Linked DNA regions of Elephas maximus indicus. The protein of the gene in region 1 interacts with the protein of each later gene in a pairwise test. Links are inferred from orthologs where the notes say so. Each region holds a gene or a part of one and is shown in the gene's direction. Other genes may lie near its edges.

The links.
Region 2: the proteins of CREB3 (region 1) and PTPN9 interact in a two-hybrid assay, tested with the Homo sapiens proteins (2 studies listed by BioGRID and IntAct). The two-hybrid records come from large-scale screens. The link is inferred for Elephas maximus indicus from reciprocal best matches to the Homo sapiens genes CREB3 and PTPN9.
Region 3: the proteins of CREB3 (region 1) and ITM2B interact in a two-hybrid assay, tested with the Homo sapiens proteins (2 studies listed by BioGRID and IntAct). The two-hybrid records come from large-scale screens. The link is inferred for Elephas maximus indicus from reciprocal best matches to the Homo sapiens genes CREB3 and ITM2B.
Region 4: the proteins of CREB3 (region 1) and KCNK1 interact in a two-hybrid assay, tested with the Homo sapiens proteins (2 studies listed by BioGRID and IntAct). The two-hybrid records come from large-scale screens. The link is inferred for Elephas maximus indicus from reciprocal best matches to the Homo sapiens genes CREB3 and KCNK1.

Annotation. Positions count from the first base shown.
Region 1 is NC_064827.1:44,514,276-44,522,082, forward strand, and holds the start of CREB3 (cyclic AMP-responsive element-binding protein 3), read left to right. Parts: upstream 1-4,792; 5' UTR 4,793-4,940; coding exon 4,941-5,069; intron 5,070-5,170; coding exon 5,171-5,318; intron 5,319-5,394; coding exon 5,395-5,459; intron 5,460-5,573; coding exon 5,574-5,663; intron 5,664-6,907; coding exon 6,908-7,014; intron 7,015-7,112; coding exon 7,113-7,181; intron 7,182-7,807. UniProt on the Homo sapiens protein: Endoplasmic reticulum (ER)-bound sequence-specific transcription factor that directly binds DNA and activates transcription. Plays a role in the unfolded protein response (UPR), promoting cell survival versus ER stress-induced apoptotic cell death.
Region 2 is NC_064831.1:65,482,600-65,490,491, reverse strand, and holds the start of PTPN9 (tyrosine-protein phosphatase non-receptor type 9), read left to right. Parts: upstream 1-4,889; 5' UTR 4,890-5,181; coding exon 5,182-5,244; intron 5,245-7,892. UniProt on the Homo sapiens protein: Protein-tyrosine phosphatase that could participate in the transfer of hydrophobic ligands or in functions of the Golgi apparatus.
Region 3 is NC_064832.1:30,744,438-30,752,354, reverse strand, and holds the start of ITM2B (integral membrane protein 2B), read left to right. Parts: upstream 1-4,910; 5' UTR 4,911-5,085; coding exon 5,086-5,202; intron 5,203-5,208; exon of another isoform or gene 5,209-5,771; intron 5,772-7,041; exon of another isoform or gene 7,042-7,917. UniProt on the Homo sapiens protein: Plays a regulatory role in the processing of the amyloid-beta A4 precursor protein (APP) and acts as an inhibitor of the amyloid-beta peptide aggregation and fibrils deposition. Plays a role in the induction of neurite outgrowth.
Region 4 is NC_064842.1:30,858,087-30,865,480, reverse strand, and holds the start of KCNK1 (potassium channel subfamily K member 1), read left to right. Parts: upstream 1-4,384; 5' UTR 4,385-4,465; coding exon 4,466-4,820; intron 4,821-7,394. UniProt on the Homo sapiens protein: Ion channel that contributes to passive transmembrane potassium transport and to the regulation of the resting membrane potential in brain astrocytes, but also in kidney and in other tissues.

The DNA of each region.
Region 1 (7,807 bases):
ATGGAAACCTCTGGTGGGACCCCGATAAGAGACTGAGTCATGCCTACCCTCACTCACAGGCCAGTCCTAAGTGGGCCTCCACATTGCTCCAAAGGGCAAGGGGAAGAGAAGGAACTGAACAGTGCACTGGGGGTGGGAGTGGCATGGAACAGGATGCCTGGAAGTGTGGGGAGAAACTAGCCTGTTCATTCTCTGGTCTGACAACTGTGCTCCCCTTTCCATCATTTTTTTATGGAACAGCAACATCAGCCCCCCCCCGCCCCCCGATCTTGTGTCCCCCTCCCAGGGAACTCCTCCTCCCTCAAGACATTCCTGAAATGCATTCCAGAGGAGTTGGGCAATGGTGGGGGTAGGGGTGGGTGGTGATGGAGTACAGGAGGTCAAATCCCAGCAAGGAATGGAATTTAAGTGTACTGGTGGGAAGGAACTTGGGGTACGTGGAAAACACAGTCAAAGCAGATGGTCACAAAGGGGGCTGCAGGAAGACAGGGAGTTACAGAGAGGGACAGAGAGAGAGAGAGAAAGCTGAAGACAAGCAGAGCGTAGGAGGGTTGGGGGAGTAACACTCAGTCTGTTACCAAATTTGGCCTCTGAGCCCGTAACCGCGGGCGGGGCGGGGGGAGTTGTGGGTGAGACTGACATATCCGGCCTCAGGCTGCTGGAGCCTCACTTAGGGCTGGACTGGGCAGCTGAAGGGCTGGACCTAACCTCCCCCGACACAGCCCCTCCCCACTTACACCCCTATCCCACACACACTCATCCTCCCCAAATGCACCCCAGCCTATGCACAGAGCTCCTTCCCAATAAGCTACCTACTTAGTATCTCCTTACAAACATGTTATCTCAATCTCACAGCTCTATACATATCCCGCTACAGCCTCTTTATCTTCCCGTGTAGGCCCATCCATACATGCAGCTGCCCACAAATACATCTTCATCTCCAGCACACAGCCCCCTACCCCAACATCTCTCCTTCCATTCAGTATACATTCTCTCTCCATTCACCCAGGAAGCATTCCTTGAGGGCTGTTATGGAGAAGGCCCTGGGTCACACTATCCAGTGGCTGGGAACTAAGCTGAGTAAGACGTAGCCTTTGCCCTCAAGGGGAGAAAAGCGGATCAGCTAAGCACAGAATTTAATAGAGAGCAGGATGAGCTAAGAGCCTGGAGGCGTGTATGCAGAGAAGATATCCCAATAGGCGAGGGAAGTGGAACCAAAAGTCTCCCTGAAAGACGTGCCATTTGAAGTTCGATTTTTAAAAACAAGGATAATAAAAAAGAAATAATGATCTATCATTTATTGACAAGGTATCAACTGCTTTGCATACATAATTTTGTTTAATCCTTACAACAACCCTGCAAGGTAGGTGCCCTTATCTCCATTTTTACAGACTAGGAACCTGAGACTCAAAGAAGTATATGTTCAAATGTACTTGTCCAAAGTCACACAGCTAACAAGTTGTAGAGCCAGGATCCGAACTCAGGTTTCTCTGACTCCAAGGCCCAAGCTCTCTCCACTACGCCAGCCGGAGATGAGTCAAGGGTAGCATTCCAGGCAGAGAATAGCATAAGCAAAGGTGGAGAAGCAGGAAATCGCAGAGGAGCATTCAGGGAAGTGAGTAGGCAGGCTGGTTGAAGCACAGGGTACCTGCAAGGGAGCAGTGGTGGGGAAGTTAGGGTTCGGATAGAAAGGCAAGGGAGGACTAGAGAGGAGTATGAGGTATTTTACCTACTAGAGGGCAGCAAGTGGCCAAGGGAGGCTTTTGAGCAGAGAAGGAACATGACCAGAACTGGATTTTAGAATATAACTCTGACAGTTATCTTGGAGATTGGTTAGAAAAATACCATATTAGCACAAGTGAGAGATATGGAAGCCAGAGTTAGAAGGTGGAGAGGAAGATGTCACTTAGAAAAAAGGTTAAGAAGTAGAACTGACAGGACTTGACAAGTCTGTCCTGTCAACCCTCAGAGACCAGGGCCTAAAGTCAGGTGGGGGTCCCATAGCTTCCTGTCATCAGTAGCCACTTAGTTTCTGGGACAGCTTGAGTTTAGGTAAAGGGGAGAGGAATCAGGTTGAGCTGGGAATGTGAGGATGAGGCTGCCAGGAAAAGGGGACAGGTATGTGGTTAGTAGCCAGGTAGGAGCAGGTGGGGCGTGGTCAGTGACTACATCAGGCTAGAGATGGTGGAATGATGGTGGCAGGAAAGATGAATATATGATAAGTCACTGGATCAGCACAGGGGAAGTAGAGGAATGAATATATGGGCAGTGGCTAAGTCAGACTCAGGGAAAAGATGGAGTGAGGTCAGAGGCCAGGTCAGGCTACAGGGGATTGAAAAGAGATGGGGCTGTCGTCAGTGGCTAAATTAGGTGGGGTGTGGGTACGGTGAGAGGACATTGGCAATGGCTAAGTAAAGCTGGAGCTGGGGGCGGGATGGGATGCAGCCAATGGCTGGGTCAGGCTGGGTAGGGGCTAGGGCTGTGGTCAGTGGCTGGGTCAGGCTGGGAGCGAAATGGGGGTGTGGTCAGTGGCCTGGCTGGGCGTGGGATCAGCAAGACCCAGTTTCCTCTTTGGGTCTCGTTTCCTCTTTTCTGTTTGGGGAGTGGGGGAAGGGGATCTTCAATTGGACCAAGAAATTAAAGGAGGCTTAGAATTGGAAGATGGCACAGGGACTGGGGGTATGTGGCAGTTGTGTTGGGTTGGGGAGGCTGCTCAGATGAGCAGATGGTATGCAGATGGATGAGTGGGTGAAAAAGGTAGAAGGGTGTTTTAACATGATGGGAAAGCTCAGGTTTGGATAAGGGTAAATTAAGGTAGGATGTGTGAATCAAGTAGGGAAGGCCTGGCAGAACTGAGGTTGGGAATAGGTGGTAAGCAGATGAAGAATATGGAGAGTTAAAGGCAAGGGAAGTACTTTGTAAGGGGGTATGCAGGAAGGGTGTGGAATGCAGCGCCAGGGATGAGAGCTGGAGAGGAGGGCTTAATATCTAGGGAATGAGGGAGCAGTAGGAGTTAACTTTCGGTAGATTCGGCCACCCTCTTCTCCCATGACAAGAGCATTTCCTTGGTCTGCTTCCCCCTTAGTCATCAGTCTCTTCTCCCCTCGGTAGTTCTCCACTTATGACTAGACATTGTGCATCTCCTGGGCCCCTGTCCCTTTCTTATCTCTCACCTTGTAAACAACACAGTCCAGGAAACCCCAATCCTCCATTTGTGCTGGCCACAGAAAGAAACTTGGATTTAGAGAGTAGAATAGAGAAGCTGGATTCCTAGTTGCCTGCACTTCCAGCCCAGATTGTCATCATTCTGGGTTAAAGAAGTCCCCGTGACTACCTAGGAATAAGACTTTCCCCCAAAGCAAGAGCATCTACCTAGTGACAGCTTCTTAAATTTCATCTACCTGAGATCAACTACCCTGACCTCAATCATAACCCCTAAAGCTGCCCCCTAATTCCTAACATTAACTCTGACCCTAACCAGTTTCCTGATTGCCAATACTGGCTTTGACAGTCGTCTCTTTCCTAGCAGAGAACCATATTCAATGCCTGATCCTAAATGCTGACCTGACTTTACCGTTAACATCAAACTCCCTGACCTTAACTCTAAATGCTGAGTCTTAAAACTAATATTCACTTGTATTTTTATTCCTAACCCACCCCATCATTATGTATCCCTAATATTGACCTTGCCAACTTCTGTAATCCCTAAAATGGGCGTCTAACCTAATTCCTGTTGTTGACCTTTAACCCGACCCTGAACTCTAACTTTGATTTAGGCTGTCCATCCCAGAAAACAAAATAATGGCCTCAATCTAAACTTTACATATAAAATAGGCTGAATTTACACTAATAACTCGAAGTTTCGACCCTGGCTTTATAACTCTTAAAGCTAACGTTAAATCCACCACCCAATCTCATCTAATCCCAAACTTAGCAAAGCGTTCCTACTCACATATCCACTATCAGCTAACCTCAAAACCTATTACCGCCCTGCGCCTCACTGTGGTCACTCCTCACCTTCCCTAAAGCCCACCGCAGGCAAAGGACTGCGCCTAGGAAAAGCCTGGCTCCCGCAAAACGGCCTACTGAGCTCCGAGACCAAGCCGAGATATATTGGACCCTGACCTCTCCAAAAGGACCCGAAACAGACGCAGGACTGCCAGCGGCCCCGCCCGCCCGCCTCCCGGGCCGGGCCTTGCGGCCCCACCCCGGGGCTCTAGCTCGGCCCGGTCCGGCCTACCTGAGCTGCCCGGCTCTGTGCCCCGCCCGCCGGCCCGCTAGCCCGGTCGTTCTCCCGGTCGCTCTGGGGCTCTGGCCTCGCCCTCCCGCCGACAGGCTCTCTCTCGGCCACTTCCGTCCCCGGAACGTCCCCCACCCGCGGGCGGCGCCCTGGGCCCGCGCTCTATGGTTGCCGGGACTGCAGGAAGCTGCTCTGGCCCCAGCTCTCGATGCTCGACAGCCGGCCGAAGACTGGCAGCCCCTCCCCGGCAGGAAGCAAGGGCGCGCACAATCCAGAGGAAACGCCCGAACTGTGCTCGAGTTCCCTTTTAGTCTGGAATCCTTCCTTTTTTCGCTCGAGGCGAAGGCGGAGCCGGATCACCCGAATTCCCGCCCTCAGGGTGTGCGGAGGCTGACGGGACGTCCCCACTATTTGCATAGCTCCTGGGACGTGGCGCAGCACCCAGGCCACTTCCGAGTTGGAGGGAACTCCATGTCCCAGAGTGCCATGGTGGCGAGATGTATTACTTCCGTTGTGTTGGAAGCGGCAGAGACTGGATCTGGGAGGCGGGTCCGCGTGAGAGTGACAGCTAAAGGCAAAGTGCGGCGAAGAGGGACCCGAGACCAACAAACAACTGGGCTGTGGTTCGTGCCTGAAATTCGGGGGTTGGAGCTGGGTGGCGGGGTGAATCCCCGGGTTTCTGTCCATTCTTGTCTGTAGTATGGAGCTGGCACTGGGTCCCAACGACCAAGACCTGCTGGGTTTTCTGCTAGAGGAAAGCGGAGATTTGGGGGTGGCGCCGGAGGAGGCCCTGGAGGCTCCGCTGGACTGGGAGCTGCCGCTCTCCGAGGTGAGTGGAAGTTCTGAGTAGGTGAGGCACGGGGCTGGGGGCGTCCATGAGGCATGGGATGGTGGTGATAGGTCAAAGCCTGTTTATTGAACCATGTGCAGGTACTGAGTGATTGGGATGTGGAGGATTTCCTGAGTTCCCTGCTAAGTCCCCCAGCATCGTTGAAGGCTCTCAGCTCCTTCAATCCCTGTCCTGTCAGTCATGATCACAACTACTCTCTCCCACAGGAACATGTCTCCGTAGATACAGGTGAGTCTGAAATATTTGAGGTTTATGGGGAGGAAAGTGCTCATGGGTCTGGCTATTCATACTTTTTCTTTTGCAGACAGTGGGAGCTGTGGGAAGGTGGCCCAGATGACTCCCCTGCAGGTGAAGGAGCCTGCAGAGCAGGTACTTGACTAACAGGAGGATTATTCCTACATTGCGCAAATGGGGGCAGGATTCCCCATTCCTCTGACAACCCCTTGCAACTCTGCTTCTCCCTCCCACCCTCAATAACCCCAGGAGATTGAGGAACTGATACTGACAGAGGAGGAGAAGAGGCTATTGGAGAAGGAGGGGCTTTCGCTGCCTGGGACACTTCCTCTTACTAAGGTAAGTCTCCCATTGGCAGAGCAAAAGCTGGAGGGAGGTTTTATGAGTCTCGAGTAAGCTAATCTTGTTAATTTTCTATCAGTAACTTGAAAAAGGACCAACCAAGAAAGCAAACCCACTGTTGTCGAGTCAATCTGACTCATAGCTATCCTATAAGACAGAGTAGAACTACCCCATAGAATTTCCAAGGAGTGCCTGGTGGATTCGAACCGCTGACCTTTTGGTTAGCAGCCATAGCACTTAATCACTACACCACCAGAGTTTCCCAAAAAAGGACAGAGGTGGGAAATTTAGCAAATTTGTTGGTAATGGGAAGCTGGGGCATATAGGTAATATGATGGATGCAAAATGCTGGTTTTGTGGGGTCTGAAACATACAATTTCAGTATTCTCATTAAGAAAAAAAAATCATAATTATCAGCACAATATTACTATAGAGCCTTGTGCAAGTGAGGGTCTCTGACACTTAGATTTCATTGACTTCGTAGTAATCCACTTCTGGCTGAATTATAGAATTAAGCTTTAGATCATTCAGTAAGGTTGGAGTAACAGTATAACAAAAATAAATATAAATTCCTGCGTTTATATTTATTGAGTGACTTCATAGGCCCGGTATTGTGCAACTGTGATGAAATCAATGTTCACTGACAGAATGGTTAAGGGAATTTAAATATAAATTTCTTGCAAGTGCAGTGAGTCAGCAGGTCAGCAGGAAGATACGGCTACTGAGTGAATGGGACTTGGAGGCTGCATCAGTAGAGGTGTTGCCTTCAGAAGTGGAGTGACTATCCTGTTCTCTTTTGTATTTGCCAGGGCACATCTTAGTATTGAGTTTTGAACCCAGATATTTAACAGATATTAACAGGATGGAATCCATCCTGAGGAGAGTAGATAAAATGAGATAAAATTTTTGTCCAGGTTTTTTTTTTTTTAAACTCTGAAGAAATGTCAAATGTCTTAAAATAACTAAGGAAGGTTTGTTCAACACGGCTTCAAAGATTAGATACTAGGTCAGTCCAATGGATAGAAATTATAAGGAGGCAGATGTGGGCTTGGGAGATTTAAAAAAAATATAAAATTGTTAAAAGTGGTCCGGGCTTATTAACAGAGATGTTAACACCTGGCTCCCAGCGGCGTTCTGCACAGAAGCCGAGTGCATACTGGTCAGGTGATTGAACTCATTTGCCTTCCAACTCTTCGGTCCAGTGTTCCTCTGATGATGCCCCTTCCCCCATCTTCTTCCAGAAGGAGGAACAAGCCCTCAAACGAGTACGGAGGAAGATTCGAAACAAAAAGTCTGCTCAAGAGAGTCGTAGGAAGAAGAAGGTGTATGTGGGAGGTTTAGAGAGCAGGTATGAAAGGAAGAAGGGCTCAAGGGTGGGGGGAACAGAGGTAGTTGGAAATGATTTTAAAGGGAAGACAGAGGTCATATCCCTGTTATTCCCCCCAGGATCTTGAAATACACAGCCCAGAATCTGGAGTTACAGAACAAGGTGCAGCTCTTGGAGGAAGAGAATCTGTAAGCAACCCTCCAACATTAGTCCTTTCCCATCACCCCCATTTAATGCTGCCCCACTCTTTCCCCTGTTCCACACTTGACTTCTAACTGGGCAGCTCCTATATGCAATCTGGTACTTAGCCTTCAATGTGGGTCCAGGAAGCTCAAAGTACTGGCAGAATTCACAAATAACTATAACCAAGAAAGAGAAAGGAAGGAGGAAGAAACACTTCAGTGGGTAGATGGCATTTGATAGTAGATAGGATTCTAGGGGTGAAGTAAACATTTCAAGCAGAGTGAACACACCACCATCTGGTTTGGCTGGAACTCTGACACAGGTGAGTTGGGACCAGAAGGTAGAGGTTATGGAATGCCTGGTGAGGACTATGGGCATCATTGATCAGGCAGAACTACTGAAGGTATTTGCCAAAGGAATTTGTCAGGGTGGAGAGATTATTTTTTTTGTTGTTTGTTTTTAATGGGGAGCTTTAAGCATTTTATCTGCAGAAAAGTGGTCACTGGCAAAAACAAAGTAAGAGATGATCCAGGGCACAGATGGAGGGGGTGGCCTTAACAGGAGAGTTTCATTGTATCTCAGTTACCAGGCCAGGGTGTGCTCACTCTCTCTTCTCTCCCTTCTCTCCCTC
Region 2 (7,892 bases), on another chromosome or scaffold:
TGACGGCACGGCTGAGAAGATGTCCTGATTGAAGAACTGTATCCTCGGTCATTTTTGATCCTGAATTGTAACCTATTACTTCCCTGATAAACCCCATAATCATGAGTGTTGTCTGTGAGTTCTGTAGGGCCATTGCAATGAATTATTGAGCCCAACAGAGAAGTAGAGAATACAGTGGGAGGGTTGGTTTGTGTCAGAATTGGTAAAAAAGTTGGAGAGAGGAGGTATGTCTGACCTCAGCTTCATAGGAATCTGCCTCAGGCTGGTGGTGATTCTCTCCCACCCTACTGAAGTTAGAGAAGGTCAGACGCAGCCTCCATGCCATTTTTACTCACAAGGAAGCAAATAAGTATAATTCAGAGTGTTAGGTACATTCTAGACACAGCTACCAGGTACAGAAGTTATGTACAACAGTGAGCGATATTAACCTGTGATCTGAGAGTGGTGGATAGGGGTGTCAGATGAGAAAATTGTTTTTGTGTGAGCAAAGAACCAGATTACATATTTAAAAAATAAATTGAAGCAGAGACTAGTAATAAGAATGTTCCCTAGAATATTGGATAATGGGGGAATTATAATCTCTGTGGGGTTAAGATTTTCCACCTTCCCTGCAGAGTTCACCTTCAGCCATCCTAGTGATGATAGATTTGGCCTATGAGTAAACAAAAAAATTTCTCACCCTAGACGGTGATTAGCAGTATGACCTTATTTGCTGTTTCTCTTTTAGAAAAATGGCAGTAAGAATTTCTGTTTTGGGCGGGGGGAATCTTTTATAGCCAATGCATGTCTACAGTACAACACACATCTGTTTCACAGGCAGTATATATTTTGTAGCAACGCCTGAGAGAAGCTTTGGGTTTTAGAAGTGACAGTGTTTTGGAGGAAAGGTTATAAAATCACCACAGTCACAGTGTGGAAGTATCTTTATTCTTCCACACTTTATTCTTAGTGCTGAACAAATACAAAAAAGGCAGCGAGAGGAGGTCTCATGGTAAGATAGAGGCCTATGCGTTAAGTGGCTGTCTTCATTGATTCAACACATTTTTTAAGTGCCTGCCTCTTATGTGCTAGGCTCTAAACACTGAGGTACAGGGGCCAACACAACTATGTGGTCCTTGCCTTCCTAGAGCTTACAGTCTCGTAAGGCAGACAGACACTAAGCTGGTGGACGTAGAAACAAGTACACAGTTATAAATTCTGATCCTCTTATAAAAACAAGAGGGTGCTGCAAGCGAGAGTAACAGGGGGCCTAATTCAGCTTGGTGAGTAGTCAAGGAAGATCTTGCTGAGGAAGTGACTTTTGAGCTGAGACCTTAAGGATGAGTCAGACTTTTCTAGTGAAAGAGGTGGGGGGAAGGGGAGGATAAACTTTCTAGACAGAGACCTGAAACCTGTGCTTTAAAAGCAAAAAAAAGAAACAAAGAAAATGCAAAAACAAAAGTACAACTCATGATACCTCTCCACCCTGGGGTTCCGTCTTTGTAGTTTATTTTCCACTTTCGGATTGTGGCCCTTACTGTTCACGTTCATTTAATAAAGATGTATTGTCTGCAGCTAAGCATTCAAAAATGCAAGGAGGCCCTGTCAGTGCGTGTGGAACTACCTAATTTATTTTTGGTAAAATTAGGATCATGATTTCACCTATATCAAACTGTTATGGTGAGATGAAAGGGTTGAAAGTCATTTAGAAGAGCGTTTGGCAGATGGTAAAGACACATTCAGTGTCAACTTATTTCAGTGTACACACGTGCTCTAACTTACTGAGGCTTCCTATTGATGGAGCATTATGTTGTTGTTTCCACTACAAACTAAAAAAAACGGTTGGGGTTACTACAAACTGCTTCAGGCTCTAAGATTCCACTGAGTAGGATGACAGTACCATGCTGGATTTCATTGGCTCCAGACTGCAGTTAAGGGCAAGCCAGGGGGCTTCCTTTGTTCTCTGGTTCTCCTAAAATTTGTCTCTCAGAGTGGATCCAGCCAGCCAGTTTTGCCTTGGACTTAGTTTTGTTACCCATGTCTTTGCTCAGAAACTTCCAAGCATTGTCCTGTTAGGGCTGTGATAGGCAACAGTTCCGGAAAATTGTTCCCTTACACACCCACACGCCCACACACAGCTGTGCCTCTGAAAACACTTGAGTTCTCTCTCCTGGCTTACTCAATAAACCTCTCCCTTTATTAGTTCTCCTTACTGATCCTTGGGCTAAGAGAATGCCTGGGTTCAAGTTCTAGCTCAATACTAATTAATTAGCTGTGTGCTTTTGGATAAGTCACTCTCCCTTGGTGTCCTGAGGATCGATCATTGGGCAAAAATATGTAAAAGTGTCAGTTATACTTTGAGACATTCCCTATCCTTTCCTGTACCCCACTCAGTGGTTTGCACTACTCAGGTTCTGCCATTTCTTACTCCAGCTTAGTTCTAGAGCCATTTGCTTGCCTACTTAAGGAGAAAAACTGTATTTCCTTAAGTTAAAATTAAAAAAAAAAAAAAAATTTTTTTTTTTTAAAGATTATTCATCCACATTCAAAGTCTTAAAATTTTGTATTTAAAATACACACACGTCAAACTATTCTATGCTTTTAGAAACCAAGATGGTGGTTACCTTTGAGGAGGGTTGGGGGGATGAGGAGGACTTTGGCAAATTGAAAACATTCTATTTCTTGATCTGGGTGCTGATTACAGGGGTGTGTTCAGTTCATGAAAATTTATCAAGGTATATATTTATTATATTTGCACTTTTTGGTAGGTATGTTATGCTTCAATAAAAAGTAAAAAAAAAAAAATTGTACAAAAGACTATAGAGGGATGAGTCTCCTTCTCACTTATGTTTCCCAGACAACCAGTTCCCCCTTGGGAGGCAACCACTATTTGTGTTGTATCCTTCCAAAGCTCTTCTATGTATAAATAAGTTTATAAATATTCATTTTTTTCTTTATACACATGACAGCATATTATGCACACTGTTCCAAATCTTGCTTTTTTTCACTGGTGATATATAGGTCAGGGGTCATTCCATACCCTTACATGTATATGGAAGAGAACATGGTCATCTTCATTGTTGCAACCCCAGTGCATAACCCAATGCTTAGCATATAAGTATACTTTATTCAATAAACTGGCTTCTAAATGAGAGTCTGTTTGCAATACTGAAACTGTAACTCCTGCAGGTGGTGATGAACTCAACCAGAGTCAGCTTTATTGATTAAAAAAAAGGATAAAATACCGGATCCAAGCACCAGGGGTTTCTTTTCTCACTGATTCGCAGTTCACCCAGGGCAACCTGAAGGCCTTCTGCATAATTGCAGAAATGAAGGGAAGTCAGGGGTTGCTTTTAAAGTACTGTACTAGAATGAGCATCAGAACTAAGAGCACCCTCAGTTGTCTGAAGATCCCTCCCCTTTGGGTCTCTCTCATTGGGCTCCAGAGACCCAAGACCTGAGATAGCAGTGCTGGGTGGTTTCAAGCCTTGGGACCAACTGCGGCACTCGCTTGTTCATTGGACTGCTTTTGGAATATTTATCTTTGGCCTGAAATGATGCAAAAACATCCCAGACTCAGCCCTGTCTTCCCTGTGTCTCCCCAACTGATCCCAAAACTGTGTATCTTGAACCCAGTAAAACCCCCAACCTCTTTGCTGCGCTTGCCTGAGTGCAAATCAAAGGCTTTCAAAGGCTTCGTGATTCCTGAATGAGGTTCACAATCGGATGTTGTTTTTGCGAAGGACTAAAATTAGCTAAACTGCTGATGGATTACAGGATACAGCTGGCAAGGAGAGAGAGCGAGATGGAGCCGCGATTAGCTGCCTCTCCTTTCCACCTGAGCATCCTAGACCTCGCAGGCAACCTTTCCAGGAGCTTTTAGTCAGCAAGTGGCATGGAAACAGACGAGCATTGTGTCCCCTCAACATATAGGTGGTTGCCGCAAATCAAACCTAGCCGATTTGCCCTTCAGACAGTTTTCAAACTCTTCTTCCTACAAGGAGCTTAGTTTAACCTCTTAGGAAAACCACACTCTTTTCTTCCCTTTTCTCCCTCCTGCAGCCCGGAGTCTCCTTCTGTACAGCTCCGCAGCCACCCCTCCTCCGTCTCCCCCACCCCGCGGGCTCCTCTCTCCTCCCCTGTACCGCCCTCTGGGGGCCCCTCTCCGTCTCCCCCTCCTCTCTCCTCCCCTGTACCCCCCCCGAAGGCCCCTCTCCGTCTCCCCTTCCTCTCCCCTCCCCTGTATCCCCCCCCAGGGCCCCTCTCCGTCTCCCCCTCCTCTCTCCTCCCCTGTACCCCCCCCGAGGGCCCCTCTCCGTCTCCCCCTCCTCTCCCCTCCCCTGTATCCCCCCCGAGGGCCCCTCTCCGTCTCCCCCTCCTCTCTCCTCCCCTGTACCCCCTCCGGGGGCCCCTCTCTGTCTCCTCTTCCTCTTCCCCCCGCCCGCTCCGCCCCCCAGGGCCCCTCTCCGTCTCCCCCTCCTCTCCCCTCCCCTGTGCCCCCCGCCCCGCGGGCCCCTCTCTGTCTCCCCCTCCCGGACGACGTCCTCGCTCTGCCGGGCCCTCCTCGCCGCCTGTTTGTGAATGAGACGCTCAGTTTCTCAATGGAGCCGCGGAGGGCTTGGGCGGCCGCAGCTTTGGCCCTGAGCCGGCAGGGGGGCGCCTTCTCCTCGTTCCCTCCCTCCTTCCCTCCCTCTCCCCGCCGCCGCTTTTGAGGAACGAGGCGGAGAGGCGGCCGCGCAGGTCGCCGGGGCCCGCAGCCCGAGCACGGCCCGAGCGGCGGCCTGGAGGCTCCGTCACGTCTGCGGGCGCCGGAGAACCGAGAAGGCCGGTGGCTTTCGGGAAGTTTCCACGCCGTCCTTTGGCTCCGGCCTTGAAAACTTCTTTATTTAATAGCTCCGTTTCTAATCCCGGTTGGCTGTTAGCTCCTCGCCTGCATTTTTTTTTTTTTTCCGGGAGAGGAGGGAGAGTGTGAGGGAAAGAGAGAAGAAAATAAAAAAGGATTTCCGCCCAGAAGGGAGCCGCAGTTCGGAGAGGGTTTTGTGCGCAGACGGGAGCGGGTCTGCGGCCGCCGCGGGCGCCGGGCCCCGCCGGCCGGACCATGCGCGAGCCGGCCTCGGGCTGCTGAGCGCGGGACGCGGAAGCGGAGGCCACAGTCCGGGCTCCCCGGCTCCCGGGCGACTGTGTCCGCGGGGCGGCGGCGGGATGGAGCCCGCGACCGCGCCCCGGCCCGACATGGCGCCGGAGCTGACCCCGGAGGAGGAGCAGGTAAGCGGGGCCGCGGCGGCTGCGGTGGGTGTGTCGGGCCCCCGAGGCCTAGGCCAGCTTCTGCCTCCTCCCCAGGCCGCGCTCCCGGGCCGCGCCCCGCGCCCAGGCCCCGCGCCCAGGCCCCGCAGCGTCCCCGCTCCAGCGCCCCGCACCCCGCGCCCAGGCCCCTAAGCGTCCCCGTTCCAGCGCTCCGCGCCCCGCACCCCGCGCCCAGGCCCCGCAGCGTCCCCGCTTCAGCGCCCCGCGCCCCGCAGCGTCCCCGCTCCAGCGCCCCGCACCCCGCGCCCAGGCCCCGCAGCGTCCCCGTTCCAGCGCCCCGCGCCCCGAGCCCAGGCCCCGCAGCGTCCCCGCTCCAGCGCCCCACGCCCCGCAGCGTCCCCGTTCCAGCGCCCCGCACCCCGCGCCCAGGCCCCGCAGCGTCCCCGCTCCAGCGCCGGGCAGCTGGGCGGCCTCTCCCCCTCCCCCGCCCGGCGGCCGCGCCCAGGGTCGTCGTCCCCCGAGACGGGGGGGCGCCGCTGGACCCTGCCCCTTGCCTCTTTTATCCCCGAGGCTTATAGGTCTTATTTTGCCCCTCACTGTGCCGGGTTTAATTAAAGTTCCTCGAATTGGGGGGTCTCTTTTTCCCTCCCCTCCACCTCCGCGTTTGCAGAACACACACTTGCCCCGGCGGCCCTTTCAAAGCCCATAAATGTATTGCTGCTTTCTGTGAGGGGTTGTGGTTTTTTAAGGGCAGGAAAAGCCCCAGATTTGGGCGAGTGTGATAGGCACTGGGTGCATAGATGCCCTGGGTTTTCACAGGAGCCCCGCAAGCTTCTCAAAGGGCTGTGGCAGGGTTGTCTTGGAATATGCAGACCAGGCCTTCTCATGCTGCCGAAGTCCCTGGCCTTGGCGTCCCTACTCACCCATCCCAGTCTGAGCGCATCCCCTCGCCCTCACTCCCTACCCCAATCTCTTCTGACTGCCTCCATCTTTCTGAAGCCTCCATTGAGTTCCATTGTCCCTTAAAGCTTATGATCTTCAATCCCCAGTAGGAAGTGGTTTGCGGTATCAGTTTGGGGCTTGGGGAAGGGAGAAGGCAGAGGCCATTATGACTTTCCCTCCCCCACATTCCAGCTCTGGAGACACAGATCACTCCATCTGAGGAAGACAGGAAAGTCGGCTGGGTCAGATTGGGAACCTTGAAGGCTTTTCGCTGTATCTTCCTTGGTACTGCCCATACCCAGCCTTAGCTATGCTCAGATATAGCTATAGTCTGATTCCGTTTTTTTTTTAAGACCTGAAAAAAGAAAAAGGTGAACATTTAAAGCTGTCCAGCCCTTGTTTCCAAGGACCACATTTTTTACCATAATCTCTAGCGTGGAGACAATTTAGGTTTACAAAATAATATTGGCTCATAGGCTTAAAACCTGATTAAAAAAAAAAAATCCCTTGACTTTTCTCCTCATTTGTGGAGATGACATTTTTCATGTTGGCCTCAGATCACAGTCTTGTCTTTTGATGCCTTGAGATAAAATCAGCATGGGAAAAAAAAATAGAATTCTGCTGCGTACAAGAAGTGGTAACATCCTGGTAACTGCAGTTGAGTGTTAATGAAACACTAAAAAGAGGGCCTAATGCAAGCAGATGGCCTTGGAGCCCATCCTGTCAGAATTAGTGCAATACCTCAGTACTAAGGTGAGATGTGTTATGTTGATTTTAAAGGAGGAAATCTCTTTCATCTCTTTTTCCTTGGGTTAGTCAGATTTGAAGTTTCTATGTTTCTAGACTTAAAGGCAGCAGTATGCCTACTATGAAAGCGCCATTAGGTTGCAAATTAAAAAATGAAACCAGGGAAAGTGAATATTGAAGCATCGGTAATGGTAATAATTTTATTCTGTATATAGTTTGTATACATACAGGTGTGTTATTTTTTTTTTTTTTTACATTAGAATGAACGCAATGGACAGTAAAGAGGACCGGATAGAAATAGTAAAATGTTTATATGTTAAGGTCAAGAGATTATATGTTATTTTTTCAATCATACCTTTTGTTTTCTACAAAATGCTAAGTTTCCTATATACATCTCAAAATGTTGAAACACTGAAACACGAACATGAAAGCAGAATAGTTATGGTAATGCCTGATGTTCTCATCTTTTAGTTTAATATCACATAAGGAAGAGTACTCTTAACGGTTAAGGTTTCTTTAAAATATTTAACAGGAGCAAATGCATGTTAACCTCATTGAAGTAGCTGTAATGGGAAATGACACACTCATTCCATAATGTTGTCCCATTGCTCAAACCAGTTTTGGAACTCATTTGTAATCGATTTCAAAACTGTGGCAGAATCTTTGAAGTATCTTCTATGTTGGAAAATCCTTGTACTTTTAAAAATCAATTTGATTTCGGGAAGTAGCAAAAAAAACAAATCTGTTGGAGCCCCATTTCATAGGTAAGATAGGGGATCAAACTGGGTTAACACAGTTTCAGGCAAAGTGAAATGCAGTTAAGTCCTCTTTGGGCTTTAAAGACTTTTCTGGGGCAGATTTCCTCCTGAATGATACCTCCTTCCATCCAGTTATGCAAGTCAGAAACCTTTAGCTCTTATTCAAGAAGCCAGAGTCAAATTGCAGATCACAAACCTGATTGCATCTTCCCCTAAACCTGA
Region 3 (7,917 bases), on another chromosome or scaffold:
TTTAGGCAGCAGCCAAGAACGTTAACCATTTGCACCACCCAGGGACTTCTCCGTCTGTACAGTGCAGCCTTTTATTTACGTATTTATTTATTTTTATTGTGGTAAACATATAGGTAGCAAAACACTTGCCATTTCAACAATCTTCACATGTACAGTTCAGTGAGCCTTTTTTTTTTTGAGCTATTTTATTTGTAGGAAATTTTGGCAGTCCCCTTTAACCTGAAGGGGACCACTTATTCTAACACCCCAAGGAGATTTATGGCTACATCCTTCCTATCCGGCTGTATTTCCCTCCTTTACTTGGTGTACAAGGAACCTTGGTGGTGCAATGGTTAAGTGCTTGGTTGCTAACTGAGAGGTCAGTGGTTCAAACCCACCATCAGTTTCATGGGAGAAAGATGTGGGAGTCTGGTCCTGTAAAGATTTCACTTGAGGGAACCCTATGCGGCAGTTCTACTCTGTCTTATAGGGTCAGTTACTAAGGGTCGGAATCAACTTGAAGGCGCACAACAACACTCAGCATGTACCCTCCACCTGACGGAGGCTGCTTTTCCCTTTTTCAGGCTTCTCTGTCCAGGTTTTGGTGCTCCTCTTTTTGCTGTTCCCTTCACCTTGGCTGTTCATCCTCTTCATCCAAATCCTTTTGATTTCTCCAACTAAAATCCTGTATGTCTCCTGTACAAAAACTCACCAGGCCATTCCTGGTCCTTCTTAGACTCCAATATTATACGACGGACAGTCAGTGGTGAAATTATAAGGCATGGTGAGATTTAAGTGAAACTAGGCCTGGGTCTTCTGGGTGGGCTCTGCCTATTGGACAACTTGGGCTTTGTGTCATTTCTGTTTTGTTTTCTCATCTTTTCCCTCCCTCTTTTAAATACAAAGAAACCTAGCCTAAACATGGACACGCTTAGAAAGCCAAACTTTGGAGGAGGAAAACCAGGAGACGGCAACAAGAAGACTAAATTATCTAATGCCGAGCACATCTGGTCTTTTCACAATACAAACAAACAAAATTCCCACATGCTACATCAATCAAAGAGATCTGCATTCATTTTTAGAACACCTCCCAGAAGGTTTTGGTGTATTATAGCCCAAGATTCTGAGGGGGGAAAAAAATTCATCTAACCAGTTCACTAAGGAAAATAACATGGAATAAAACAAAATGATTTTAAAAAACAGGTGGTAATGAGGTACAAAGATGGTGATATAAACTTGGGAGGTAAGAAATTTAAGAAAAAATAAAGGATCCCTAAGGCTATGAAGGAAATCGTGGTGGCGTAGTGCTTAAGCAAAAGGTCCACAGTTCGAATCCACCAGGCGCTCCTTAGAAACCCTATGGGGCAATTCTACTCTGTCCTATAGGGTTGCTATGAGTCAGAACTGACCCAAAGGCAACAGGTTTGATTTTTTGGTTTGGTTAAGGCTATGAAGAGGAGCCCTGGTGGCGCAGTGATTGAGAGCTTGGCTGCTAACCAAAAGGTTGGCAGTTCAAATCCATCAGGCATTCCTTAGAAATCCTATGGGGCAGTTCTACTCTGTCCTATAGGGTCACTATGAGTCAGAACTGACTTGAGGGCAATGGGTTTGATTATTTGGTTTGGTTAAGGCTATGAAGAGGAGCCTCAGTGGTGCAGTGGTTAAGAGCTCGGCTGCTAACCAAAAGGCTGGCAGTTCGAAATTACCAGCCAGCAGCAGATTTTTTTTTTAAGGCTATGAAGAAGAGAAAAAAAATAATGCTCGCTTAAATCTGAAGAGAGGCTTTATGTGGCACCTAGAAGAAACATCTCTTCTATGAAAATTGAGACAAAGCCACAAGATGCCCAGCTCAAGCCACACATCGGGTCCAGAGAGGAACATTTCAAAGAGCATATTCAGTGATGCTGTTTCACCAAGAACTCCATGTTCACAAAAATATTTTCCAGTCGCCCTGCTAAACCTTAAGCTGAAGAAAAAACTGCTTCCTTAAGAAAGAGCAGAAATTATAGAGATGTAAAGAACCTAGAAAAGAAAACAAACAAAACAAAAAACCCTGTCCAGGCACATGACACAAACCCGAATGAACTAAGATTCTTGAATTTAGTTCCCTGACTCCATCTCATCCTCTATTCTGGCTAAGTACCAAAACCAAACCAAACCCAGTGCCATTGAGTCGATTCCGACTCCTAAGTAGAAAAACAAATATGGAAATCAGGTGAAAGGTAGTTCTAGGATCATTAAAAACAAATTTTTCTTGCTCTCTCCAAATCAACTTGGAAAAGGAAAACAAAAGCCTTCTAACATTTCCTTTACATTCAGCAATTAACGGTAACTTAAAGCAAACCAAATCTGTTGCCATCTAGACCATTCTGACTCATGTTGACCCTATAGGACAGAGCAGAACTGGCCCATAGGGTTTTCTAGGCTCTGAATCTTTGCAGAAGCCAACTGCCACATCCTTCTCCTGCAGGACAGCTGGTGGGTTCAAACTGTCATCCTTTGGTTGGCAGCTGAACGCTTTAACCACTGTGACACCCGGGCTCCTTAATGGTAATTTGCGACTATGTTTTTAACTTTCTTTTGTTGAATCATGACTCTCCTCCTCCCCCACCCCTTAGTTTCCAGGGTCAACGGGCAAGCTTTTCTAAATCATGAGACTGGGTTTGCTATGTTTGGTCTTGATCCAGGTTCTTCATTATCCCTGTTGTTGTGCACTACATAGTCCTGTAGACATAACAGATAAAATGGCGAAACAAAACCAGGAGATAACTGTTTACCAGCTCGCTGCTAGTCCACAAAATTGAGAATACTCTTTTACTGTGAACTTGTTAAAACAGAAACCCTGGGCAGGGGCCAGGGGGTGAGAGGTGACTTATTTCTGCTTCTGTCATAAATTCATTGGTGCTTCCTTTGCCTCAGTTTCCTAATCTGTTTAACAGTGGTGTTCAGAAAGGTTTTTTTTTCTTTTCTTCCCTAATTCTAAACCCATTACCATGGAGTTGAATTCCAACCCATAGCGACCCAATAGGACAGAGTAGTACTGCCTCATAGGATTTCCAAGACTGTAAATCTTTATGCACTTTAACCACTGTGCTACCAGGGCCCCTTCCCTAATTCTAAAAAAAAAAAAAAAAAAAAAAACCCTAATTCTAGCTAGTGCAAAATGTCTTAAGTATTTTTACACCATTTCATCAAAACAGAAACAGGAACAGGAACGATACATATATATATATATAAAATCCCACCAACCCACTGCTGTCGAGTGGATTCCAACTCATACCGACCCTATAGGACAGAGTAGAACTGCCCCATAGAGTTTCCAAGGAGTGCCTGGTGGATTCGAACTGCCGACCTCTTGGTTAGCAGCTGTAGCACTTAACCACTAGCCACTAGGGTTTCCATATATATACACAACCATTTATACATATATGTATAAGCTCTTGTTTCCACAATTCCTCAGTCTTCAGTTGTCTCTTGAAACCTCTGAAATTAGGTGGTCTGGAACAATTAGATGCCATTTGTATTATCAAATGTCAATTCATAGTCAACCCCACTGAGGGCTTCTCCTTGGACAAAAGGGGTGCCTGAGGAGTTTAAATAAGTTGTTTCAAGTCACATGACTAGTTTGTGTGAGAACTCAGCAGAACTGGAATCCAACTCTTCCCCTTCCCAAATGAACGGTATTTCAGAAGGCTTATGCTGACTTGCTGAGTCGGAATCAACTCTACTGCACCTGGTTTTGGTTTGGTTTTATGCTGAGTTGAGGTCTGTACTGGGTTTCTACCTCAGCCCAGGATGGTCCTTGAAAAAAACATATGATTTGGGGTCATTCCTTAATCTGAAAGATTCTGAAATATTGGGCTGTTCACCCGAGATTTGTGATACAGCATTCTATGGAAAGTCTAAGAGTCCATTTTAAACTGAATTCTAGGGGACACCATAACCCCGTTCTGAGCACAGCCAAATCCTTTGAGATCTCAGACTCAACCTACTTTCTTCGGGGTTGACCCAAGGCAGAGCTGACACATACTAGAACATTCTAGAGTACACCCACGTATCTGGTTGAACTAGAGGCCTGAGGGGGGTGGGGGGGAGAAGGGCACAAGATCAACCATTTACCCAAAGTACCAGCAGTTGACAAGACACTGTCATAAACCCATTATCAGTGCCAGCCAGTGTCCTCTTTCATATTGGCTGTTGATGAAATCTCTTCAAATGATAATTTTTGCCTTAACCTTAAATGACTTTTTCATTTTCAAGAAAACTAATTATGAATCATCACCAAGTACGTTGCCTTGAATCACAAAGCCTGGCGTGCATGTACGTTTTGTCCAAGCCTGCACGAGTGGAATATTTTGAGAGTATGAAATGTTTGAAACCCAAACAGATGCAAAGACTTCCTCAGAACTGCTCTGGGATTAGGCAGGGCAGGCATCGACCTCCGGAGGGAGTGGGAAAAAAGGCAAGACTGGGTCAGGTAACGCCCTTGGGTGAGGTCCATGGAAGATAAAGAGGTCAGATGGCAAGGATGCAGCAGGCGCTTTAAACAATTCTGTGCCTCACTGAGTTGGGTCCATAAGTGAGACATTGGAGGTGCGGACGCACAAAAACTCCACGACCTTTAGGGTCATGGCAGGGTCAGCGGGCAAAGAAAGGCCGGCCTGGTGCTGCCAGAGGTTAATCGGTTTAACGCGGCGAACCCAGGAAAGTTCACCTGGTTTTGCTACTAACCTGCAACCCTAGGCCCAGAGGTAAACTGGGCGGAAGCTAACTCAGAACTGGAAAATCCAGGCAGCCCAGAGAGACGACCTTCCCTTTCCCGCGCCCCCCGCACCCGGGGTCGAGGATAGGGTCGGGCGCAGCGCCGGCCCCGCCCCGCCGGGCCCGCCCCCGCCCCTCGCCCCGCCCCCGCCCCGCGCCCGAGCTGGGAGGCTGCAACAGCTGTGCTGCAGTCGCCGCTCCGGCGCCTCTCGAGCCGCTTGCTCTTCCTCAGCCGCCGCGGAGCCGCACCCGTAGCCCGGCCGAGGAGGCTGAACACGCAGCCGGGAGCCCGCAGCCCGCGTCTCCAGCCCGCCGCCGCCCTCCGAGGGCGCTCCAGGCCGCGCCATGGTTAAGGTGACGTTCAACTCGGCTCTGGCCCAGAAGGAGGCCAAGAAGGACGAGTCCAAGAACGGCGAGGAGGCGCTCATCATCCCCCCCGACGCCGTCGCGGTGGACTGCAAGGTCCGAGGGCCGGGGTCCGGGCTGGGCGCGGGAAGGCGCGGGGACCTGGGCGTCTCGGCCCGGCCGGGTAGTGCAGCGCGGGGCAGCCGCGCAGAGGGCGCGCGGGCGCGGGGCAGGAGCTCCGAGGAGGGTCCCGGAGCGCTCCTTCTTCTCGGGCTGCTCCCTTTCTTCTGCGGCCGCAGCTTCTTTCTTTGTAAGGAAGTGCGTGCGAAGGAAGCCCTGCCTGACGCGGGTCCGGGAGCTTGGGAGGCCGGGAGAGGAGGCTGGAAGAATGGTGCCGAGTTCGCTGTCATTTGTGCAGCCAGGGGTGGGTGCGTGGGGCCGGGACGTGGCTCGACCTGTAGACCAGCAGCGACATGCAAAACAACAACCGAGTTTGGCACTTCCTCTCCGGAATAAACATTGTGCCTAAAATGGCTGACATCATCGCAAACCTAAACCTCTGTTGCTTCCTACTTTCGTTTCTAGGCTGAACAGAACTTGGACTAAGTCCAGCAGCTGAAACCTCTTAATTTAAAAAGCGTTTTTCTTCTTTACCTCCTTTTGCCACGGCCAGTCGTTCTTGGCAGGTGAACTTCACCTTGGGGTCTAGGGAGGGGGCAAAGGAAAGGGAACAGAGGGGAGGGGAGACAGCAAGGTGAGGGCTCAGGGTAGGTTCTGGCTGTTGATTTTGTAATTAAAGCAGAAATATTCCTGAAAAAGGTCAGTAATTACTATGGGGATGTTAGCGTAAAACCAACAGTTGGCGCTTCAGTTCGTATCCCTTGAGGACTTTTTAGCTAAGTGAAACTTAACCTAAGAAATTTGCCCCCACGTCCGTTGTAATACCTTCCTTTATTTTAGGAAATTTCCGCCTTTAGCCTAAGTAAAAGAATGGAACCGTTACTGTTTTACTTCTCGTGGCTTACAATAATAGCGTTTTAAATGTAATTGACACAGAAGTTAAAAAGTTCCACAGCTTTTTTCTATCAGATCTTCAGGCTGCAAAAAGACAATCCGGCGGAAGTTAACTGTAGAAGTTATCTATGTTGCTTAGTTTATTGTTTTGTTGGCATTTTTCAAGACGTGGGTAAACTTAGTTTTAACTTAAAAAAAAAAAAAACCCAATAATTTGTGTGTCAGTTATAAGTAGTAAACCTTATTATTTATATTTTGGTCTAATGAGAAATAGACCATCTATATAGAAAATTTGAGCATATCATATTAATCTGCCTGCCGCTGTATTTATTTTCAGGAAATGATCTAGTTAAAGATGCAAACATTAGAGGTTAATTTTTAATGACTGCTTTACCTTGAGCTGATTGCCTAAATGGATTAAAGGGTGGTTTTCCCACATCCATTGCAAACAGTTTTGGTCTTAAAAAGAAAATGTTTGGAAAGCACAGACAGTAGTTCTTCTAGGAAATTATCTTACCTCTAAATTTATGTAACAATTATCGTACCTAAAATACATCGAGAGAGTCAGGTGCTCAGTCAAAACAGTTTTAAATCTGTATTTTAAATCCCGTAAACAAATACAACTCCTCCCACTTCAGAAAAGAGGTGGGGGGGCGGGGGGAGAAAGCCTCTGATGATGTCACTCCAGAACGTTTTCTTTCTATTCTGCGTTAGTGAAGGAGATATGAAAATCTTTGGACAGAAATCAGAATTAATATATCTGGTAGCTTTAAATCTGACTTAGGACAATTTTCAAATCATTTCTGTTCTGAAACTGACGTTATTTTCAGATCCTTAGAATTTCTCACAAGTTTACCATCTTCAAATATTGTGGTAATAGCAGCTATAAAAAAAATAAGCATTCATAGCTCTCTGCATTGTTTTCCGTTTCTATTTTCTCAGATCCCCATGTCCAAAGAACAATACTGGGACTAAGCAGCGAAGGCCAGTCTTCGTTTGTAAGACAAGCAGTCATGGATGAATTGGCAGATACAAATGACTAATTCTTTTTTCTTGCTGTAAGCTGAAAGACTTCTGTTCTACAGTGGGTGACAAAACATTGCTCTACGTTAAAAGTAGAATCCTTATAATTAGTTTCACTTAACAGGTGAATGAAGATCTTACCTAATGACAGACGTTTGTGAAAGAACTGATATCTTTGTCTTTGAGCTTGGGCAGTGATTATATAATAATTTCTAGCTCCCTGGTGGTGACCAAACAGGAAACACCGCTTCTGACTGCCTGGGCTTCTGCAGAATCGGCCTTCGTGTGTTCTGCCTGGGGCATTTTCTTCGTCTGGTTGGTTCAGAGGGTCACGTACGGTCAATTAGTTAAGCCCACAACTCCTGAGCAAGAATTTCTAAATACCCAAATCCTCTTCTAGACCACAGCATTCCATATCTCAACTGCCTAGACCAGTGTTCCTCAATTGTGCCTTTAAGGGCCACCTGTGCTGGTATCGTCTGGGACTCTGGTTTAAACACACAGATTCCACTACCTTATGCCTCAAGAATTCAGCTCTCTCCAGTCAGCTGGCTTATATAACATGCATTCCGGTACTTTTACACTGCTCCTGTCTTTAGCTATTTTTTTTAGCCTGTTTTCTCTCTCAGGGTAAGAACCCTCCGGAAGTGGCTTCATTGCCCTATTTTTCAATCTTGTGGTCTTTTCAGTAGCTTTTTAATCCCAAGAGCCATTTCTATCGATTATATTATCTCAACTAGCTTGCCATTTTCCACTTGACTGTTTTCATCTCCCTCCACCAGTTCCAGTGGATAC
Region 4 (7,394 bases), on another chromosome or scaffold:
TTTAACAGAATCATATAGATTTTAGAGATCAGGCACTGGTCGGAGATGTCATAGCTGAAAACCTTTTCCCAGTCTGTAGGTGGTCTTTTTACTCTTTTGGTGAAGTCTTTAGATGAGCATAGGTGTTTGATTTTTAGGAGCTCCCAGTTATCTGGTTTCTCTTCGTCATTTTTAGTAATGTTTTGTATTCTGTTTATGCCTTGTATTATGGCTCCTAACGCTGTCCCTATTTTTTCTTCCATGATCTTTATCATTTTAGTCTTTATGTTTCGGTCTTTGATCCATTTGGAGTTAGTTTTTGTGCAAGGTGTGAGGTATGGGTCCTGTTTCATGTTTTTGCAGATGGATATCCAGTTATGCCAGCACCATTTGTTAAAAAGACTATCTTTTCCCCAGTTAACTGACATTGGGCTTTGTCAAATATCAGCTGCTCATATGTGGATGCATTTATATCTGGGTTCTCAACGCTGTTCCATTGGTCTATGTGCCTGTTGTTGTACCAGTACCAGGCTGTTTTGACTACTGTGGCTGTAAAATATGTTCTAAAATCAGGTAGAGTGAGGCCTCCCACTTTCTTCTTCTTTTTCGGTAATGCTTTACTTATCCGGGGCTTCTTTCCCTTCCATATGAAGTTGATTTGTTTCTCCATCACATTAAAAAATGTCATTGGAATTTGGATCGGAAGTGCATTGTATATATAGATGGCTTTTGGTAGAAGACATTTTTACTATGTTAAGTCTTCCTATCCATGAGCAAGGTATGTTTTTCCACTTATGTAAGTCCCTTTTAGTTTCTTGCACTAGTACTTTGCAGTTTTCTTTGTATAGGTCTTTTACATCTTTGCTAAGGTTTATTCCTAAGTATTTTATCTTCTTGGGGGCTACTGTGAATGGTATTGATTTGGCAATTTCCTCTTCGAGGTTCTTTTTGTTGATGTAGAGGAATCCAAGTGATTTTTGTATGTTTATCTTGTAACCTGAGACTCTGCCAAACTCTTCTATTAGTTTCAGTAGTTTTCTGGAGGATTCCTTAGGGTTTTCTGTGTATAAGATCATGTCATCTGCAAATAGAGATAATTTTACTTCTTCCTTGCCAATCCAGATACCCTTTATTTCTTTGTCCAGCCTAATTGCTCTGGCTAGGACCTCCAGCACAATGTTGAATAAGAGTGGCGATAAAGGGCATCCTTGTCTGGTTCCCATTCTCAAGAGAAATGCTTTCAGGCTTTCTCCATTTAGAATGATATTGGCTGTTGGCTGTGTATAAATGCCCTTTATTATGTTAAGGAATTTTCCTTCTGTTCCTATTTTGCTGAGAGCTTTTATCATGAATGGGTGTTGAACTTTGTCAAATGCCTTTTCTGCACCAATTGATAAGATCATGCGGTTTTTGTCTTTTGCTTTATTTATATGGTAGATTATATTAATGGTTTTTCTAATATTGAACCAACCTTGCATACCTGGTATAAATCCCACTTGGTCATGGTGAATTATTTTTTTGATATGTTGTTGAATTCTATTGGCTATAATTTTTTTGAGGATTTTTGCATCTATGTTCATGAGGGATATAGGTCTATAATTTTCTTTTTTTGTGGTGTCTTTACCTGGTTTTGGTATCAGGGATATGCTGGCTTCATAGAATGAGTTAGGTAGTATTCCATCCTTTTCTATGGTTTGAAATACCTTTAGTAATAGTGATTCAAACCCATTTTTAATAGCAGCCCTGTTGGCGTAGCGGTTAAGAGCTACAACTGCTAACCAAAATGTGCTCCTTGGAAACTCTATGGGGCAGTTCTACTCTGTCCTATAGGGTCACTATAAGGTGGAATTGACTCTGTGGCAATGGGTTTGGTTTTTTTTGGTATGGCATCCATGCCGTAGAGATAGCTTAATTTATTGAATATTTTCCTTATTTTGGAACATTTAGGTTGTTCCTGATTCATTATTATGTATACAACTTTTATGGACAGCCTTATATATAAATCTTTGTCTCTCTGGTTTTTTTTTTTTTTTTTTTTTCCTTAAGACTCATCACTGAGTCAAAGCACAAAAACTCTTTCAAGGTTCTTGAATCATATTACCAAACTGCCTTTCCAGAAATGATACACAATTTTTTTTCACCCACAATATGGCAGTTCACTGACCCTTGTGAACATTTGTATCACCTTAAAAACACAAAGACCAGTTATTCAACAGAATGCAGAAATTATCGACCAATGTCATTAGTATCACATGCAAGTAAAATTTGCTGAAGATACTTAAAAAATGGCTGCAGCAGTACATTGACAGGGAACTGCCAGAAATTCACGCTGGATTCAGAAAAGGATATGAAATGAGGAATATCATTGCTAATGTCAGATGAATCTTGGCTGAAAGCAGATTATACCAGAAGGATGTTTACCTGTGTTTTATTGACTACCCAAGGGCACTCAACTTGGTGAATCATAATAAATTATGGGTAACATTGTGAAGAGTAGGAATTCCAGAACACTTAATTGTGCTCATTTGGAACCTGTACACAGACCAAGAAGCAGTTGTTCCAACAGAATATAGAAATACTTTGTGGTTTAAAACAGGAGAGGTGTGCATCAGGGTTGTATTCTTTCACCATACTTATTCAATCTGTATGCTGAGAAAAAAATCTGAGAAGCTGGACTATATGAAGAAGAACGAGGCATCAGGATGAGAGCAAGACTCATGAACAACTTTCAATATACAGATGACACAACCTTGCTTACTGAACGTGAAGAGGACTGATGAAGATCAAAGCCTTCAGTATGGATTATGCCTCAACAAAAGAAAACAAAAGTCCTCGTGCTGGATAAATAAGCAACATCATGACAAACAGAAGATACTGAAGCTGTCAAGGATTTCATTTTACTTGGATCCACAATCAATGCCCATGGAAGCAGCAGTCAAGAAATCAAAAGATGCATTGCACTGGGCAAATCTGCTGCAAAAGACCTCTTTAAAGTGTTCAAAAGCCAAGATGTCACTTTGAGGACTAAGGTGTGTCTGACCCAAGCCAGGGTATTTTCAATTGCCTCATACGCATGCAAGACCTGGACAATGAATAAGGAAGACCAAAGAAGAATTGATGCATTTGAATTATGGTGTTGGTGAAGAACACTGAATATACCAGAAGAATGAACAGATCTGTTTTGGAAGAAGTACAGCCAGAATACTCCTTAGAAGTGAGGATGGCAAGTCTTTGTCTTACGTACTTTGCATATGTTAATCAGGAGGGACCAGTCCCTGGAGAAAGACATTATTCTTGGTAAAGTAGAGGGTCAGTGAAAAAGAAGACCCTCAATGAGATGGATTGACACAGCAGCTCCAACAATGGGATGAAATATAGCAATGAGTGTGAGGAGGGCCAGGACTGGGCAGGACCAAGGGTGTAGGCAGTGTTTCCCTCTGTTGTTCATACAGAGTTGCTATGCATTGGATACGACTCCAAGGCAGCTAAGAAATACACACACACACTGAGAAAAGCTCAATTGCTCCTGGCAGTTGGCACGTTGGAATATTCTTCACCGTAAAACCCAAGGTCCTATTTTAATGAACTAAAGCTCAGAAGTGGGACCTTTCTAAAACTTCCCTTCACGCTTGTTTCTTCTTAGGCAAGGGGTTTGGGTGGGCGTTGGGGTGGAGACCTTTATGATCGAAGGTGGCTTTCGGTTCTAGATTCTGAAGCTGTCACCATCATAATGGCTCTGGATAAGGTGGGTGAAGGGCCGTATTTCAACGCTCCCTATTTTTTAAGAGTGGCTCTGACTAGGAGGGAACACATGGGAAATAGGTGGAGGCTCGGACAGGGGGCTTTGGACAAGCTGGAACCTTTCCCAGAAGTCGCCCCCTCCCTCCACACACACACTGAGCTCTGTCAGTTCTGGGTCTGAGCCCCCTTCTTCGGTTTTCCCACCGGGGGAGGAGAAGGCGCACAGCCCGCAGAGGCCCCGGGGGGGGTCTGGGTGCCCCCGAGCCACTCCCAGGGCGGCCAGGCCAGCAGGCCAGGCCAGGGCTGCCAGCAGGGCAGACGTCATCTCCGTGTCTCTCCAGCCACCCGCACCAACAACCTGGCCAAGTTTACCACCCGGACTCAGGCGGCTCTCGGGTTACCTGAGCTGGCTAACGACGTCAGCGCCACATCATCTGGGCTTTTTATATTGCAAGGAAGCAGGAAAAGAAGGAAGAAAAAAACCCGCCGCAGCGAGCCAATCGCTGGGAACTCGCCGCTGCACAAAGGGGGCGGCGGGAGCGGGAGCGGGAGCGGCGAGGGCGAGCAGCGATCGGTGCCGCCGGGGGCCGCCCCCGCCGGCCGGGACCAGAGGCGGGGCGCTGTGCGCGGGCCTGGGCAGGTGGTGCCGGCGGGCGCGCGGGGCGGGCCGGGCTGCGCCGACCAGGGCGCGGCGCCGGGCGCTCTCGGCCCGGGCGGCTGTGGCGCCGGCGCGTGGGGGAGGAAGATGCTGCAGTCGCTGGCCAGCAAGTCCTGCGTGCGCCTGGTGGAGCGGCACCGCTCGGCCTGGTTCTTCGGCTTCCTGGTGGTCGGTTACGTGCTCTACTTGGTGTTCGGCGCAGTGGTCTTCTCGTCGGTGGAGCTGCCCAACGAGGACCTGCTGCGCCAGGACCTGAACAAGGCGAAGCGGCGCTTCCTGGAGGAGCACGACTGCCTGACGGTGGAGCAGCTGGATCAGTTCTTGACACGGGTCCTGGAGGCCAGCAGCTACGGCGTGTCGGTGCTCAGCAACACCTCCGGCAACTGGAACTGGGACTTCACCTCCGCGCTCTTCTTCGCCAGCACCGTCCTCTCCACCACAGGTAGGAGGCCGCCGCGGCACTCTAGCCGGCCCTGCGGCGGTCCCCGACCACTCCCCGGGCCGCCCAGCTGCGGTGACTTGGGGGAGGATGGGTCCGTGGAGCCGGAAGCAGGCGAGGTGGCTTCTTAATGTGACTTCGGTGTTGCCGCCCGCAATTCTTGGGAAGTGGTTCCAACCTCTCCGCCTGGGTGGTTGCAGGGGCTTCATTTTTTTTTTTTTTTTCGAGACGACCTGCGCCGAACCGCCAGGGTGACTCAGAAGCATCCTGGCCACCCTCGAGCGTGGTAGTGAGAGGATGGCAACTTCCCGTCTAGTGCTCCGAGCGCCTCACCATCCTTCTGACCCTATCATCTCGGAGGCCGGGGCTGCAGAATCTAATACTACTGCGGTAACAGGTCACCTTCCGCAGGGTGCCCTCGCTTTTAATGTTTCGGATATTTTTTCCGCTGTGTTGGGCCTTCGGGGAGGTTTTGGTGGTAGCCGAGCGACGCCACTCTGCTCTTCGCAGGTGACTGCTGAGCGCACAGGCAGATAAGGTTTCTTTTCAGGGTGAGAGGAGAGGTGAAAAAGAGGAACGTGAGCGTCCGTTTGCCTATGATCTGGCAAGACGGGGCACCCCTGATGCAGCAGTTCTTTCAACTTTGGGGGAGCGGGGTTACCCTTAAACTTCCAAGCGCCCAGGCCCGGCACTGCTCACGCGCTCAGTGGAAGAGCGCCCCAGGTGGAGGATGAGGTCCGGGATGTGCCCCAGATTAAATGAGTGGAGACTGAATTTTCCCAGCCGTGGCTGGTGAGGCACATACACCTGGGTGAAGATATAATTCTTTATTTGGACGCTGTAAAGACTCTTAAAGAGCGTCCGGTACAGAGCCCTTCCCCCGATCTATGAGTTCGAATCCTGGAACAGCCCACCCTGGCGTGCACAATGGCACACACTTTGCAGTTAAGTTCTGGAATCGGGGCCTTGTGATTACCCTGCCAGGAGCATTTTGTCTTCCCCCCACCCTACCTCACCCCACCAAATCTTTACAAGTGAATCAACAGCCAACATTTCCTTGACCCCCACCCCTACCGCCAACCCCACCCCCTCTTCACTTCTCAGAGTTTGTATTATCATCCTCCTAAACTCAGTGGTTTGGTAATTACTTGGTAGTGACTAACTCCTTCCACTATCCATGGAGAAGATGTAAAACAATCTATTCAATCTATTCAAAAGTCTGGGGTGAATGACTAAACTAATGTAAGTTTACCCTGAAATAGCCAGAAGTAGGATTCCAGCTTGTGTTGTGAAATTTTAAAAACTGTGTTAAATGTAGCGCTAAACAACACAAACCTGTTATCTCGCTTTGCCAAGAACGCCTGCTTCTCTGCCAGCACCACACTTTATTTTTTATTTTCACTACGGCTGCTTCCATTGTGTTTACCTGGCTCGGTTCTCAGATCCCTTACAAGTGTGCATGCCTTTCCTTCTGGGTATGTTTGTGCTAGATTTAGATTCATCCATTCTCTGTAGAAGTGTGTGTTTCCACTCGGCCACAGGTCTACAAGTGAGTCACAACGTTGGGTAAACACTTTGAAGAATCACTACTTTTAGTACTTTCCTGGTAATGGTATTTTGAAGATTGTTGTGTCGTCGACTCATAGTGACCCTATGTACAACAGAACGAAACACTGCCCGGTCCTGTGCCATCCTCATGATGGTTGTTATGCTTGAGCCCATTGTTGCAGCCACTGTGTCAGTCCATCTCATTGTGGATCGTCTTCTTTTTCCATGACTCTCCACTTTACCAAGCATGGTGTCCTTCTCCAGGGACTGATCCCTCCTGATGAAGCATACAAAGTATGTGAGATGACGTTTCATCGTTCTCGCTTCTAAGGAGCATTCTGGCTATACTTCTTCCAAAACAGATTTGTTCATTCTTTTGGTAGTCCATGGTATGTATATTCAATATTCTTCACGAGCACCACAACTCAAAGGTGTCAATTCTTCTTCTATCTTTCTTAGTCATTGTCTAGCTTTCACATGCTTGTGAGGCGATTGAAAACACCATGGCTTGAGTCAGGAGCACCTCAGTCCTCAAAGTGACATCTTTGCTGTTTAACACTTTAAAGAGGTCTTTTGCAACAGATTTACCCAATGCAGTGTGTCCTTTGATTTCTTGACTGCTGCTTCCATGGGCGTAGATTGTGGATCCAAGGAGAATGAAATCGCTGGCAACTTCGATCTTTTCTCCATGTATCATGATGTTGCTTATTGATCTAGTTGTGAGATAGAACAGTAATAAGGACAGTGTTATGAGGAAAAGAACAGTTTCAGGACTAAGAGGTGAGTTACCCTTTTAAGGAAGAAGCAGTTTCTGTTTTTCCGAAACCCATTTGCTTTTCCTGGTGGGATTTCACATCACTTGATGAGGCTCATTTGCAAGCTGGACATCATACATACCTATTTAAATGTCGTCAGCTTACACCTCCAATAGACAAACGTTTCTGAGATTCCTCTCCCTTTTAATTAGGAAAAAACGCAGTTCCTGTAGAAAGGGGCGGGGAGTAGATGTCTTATTATTGGTATTCAGAT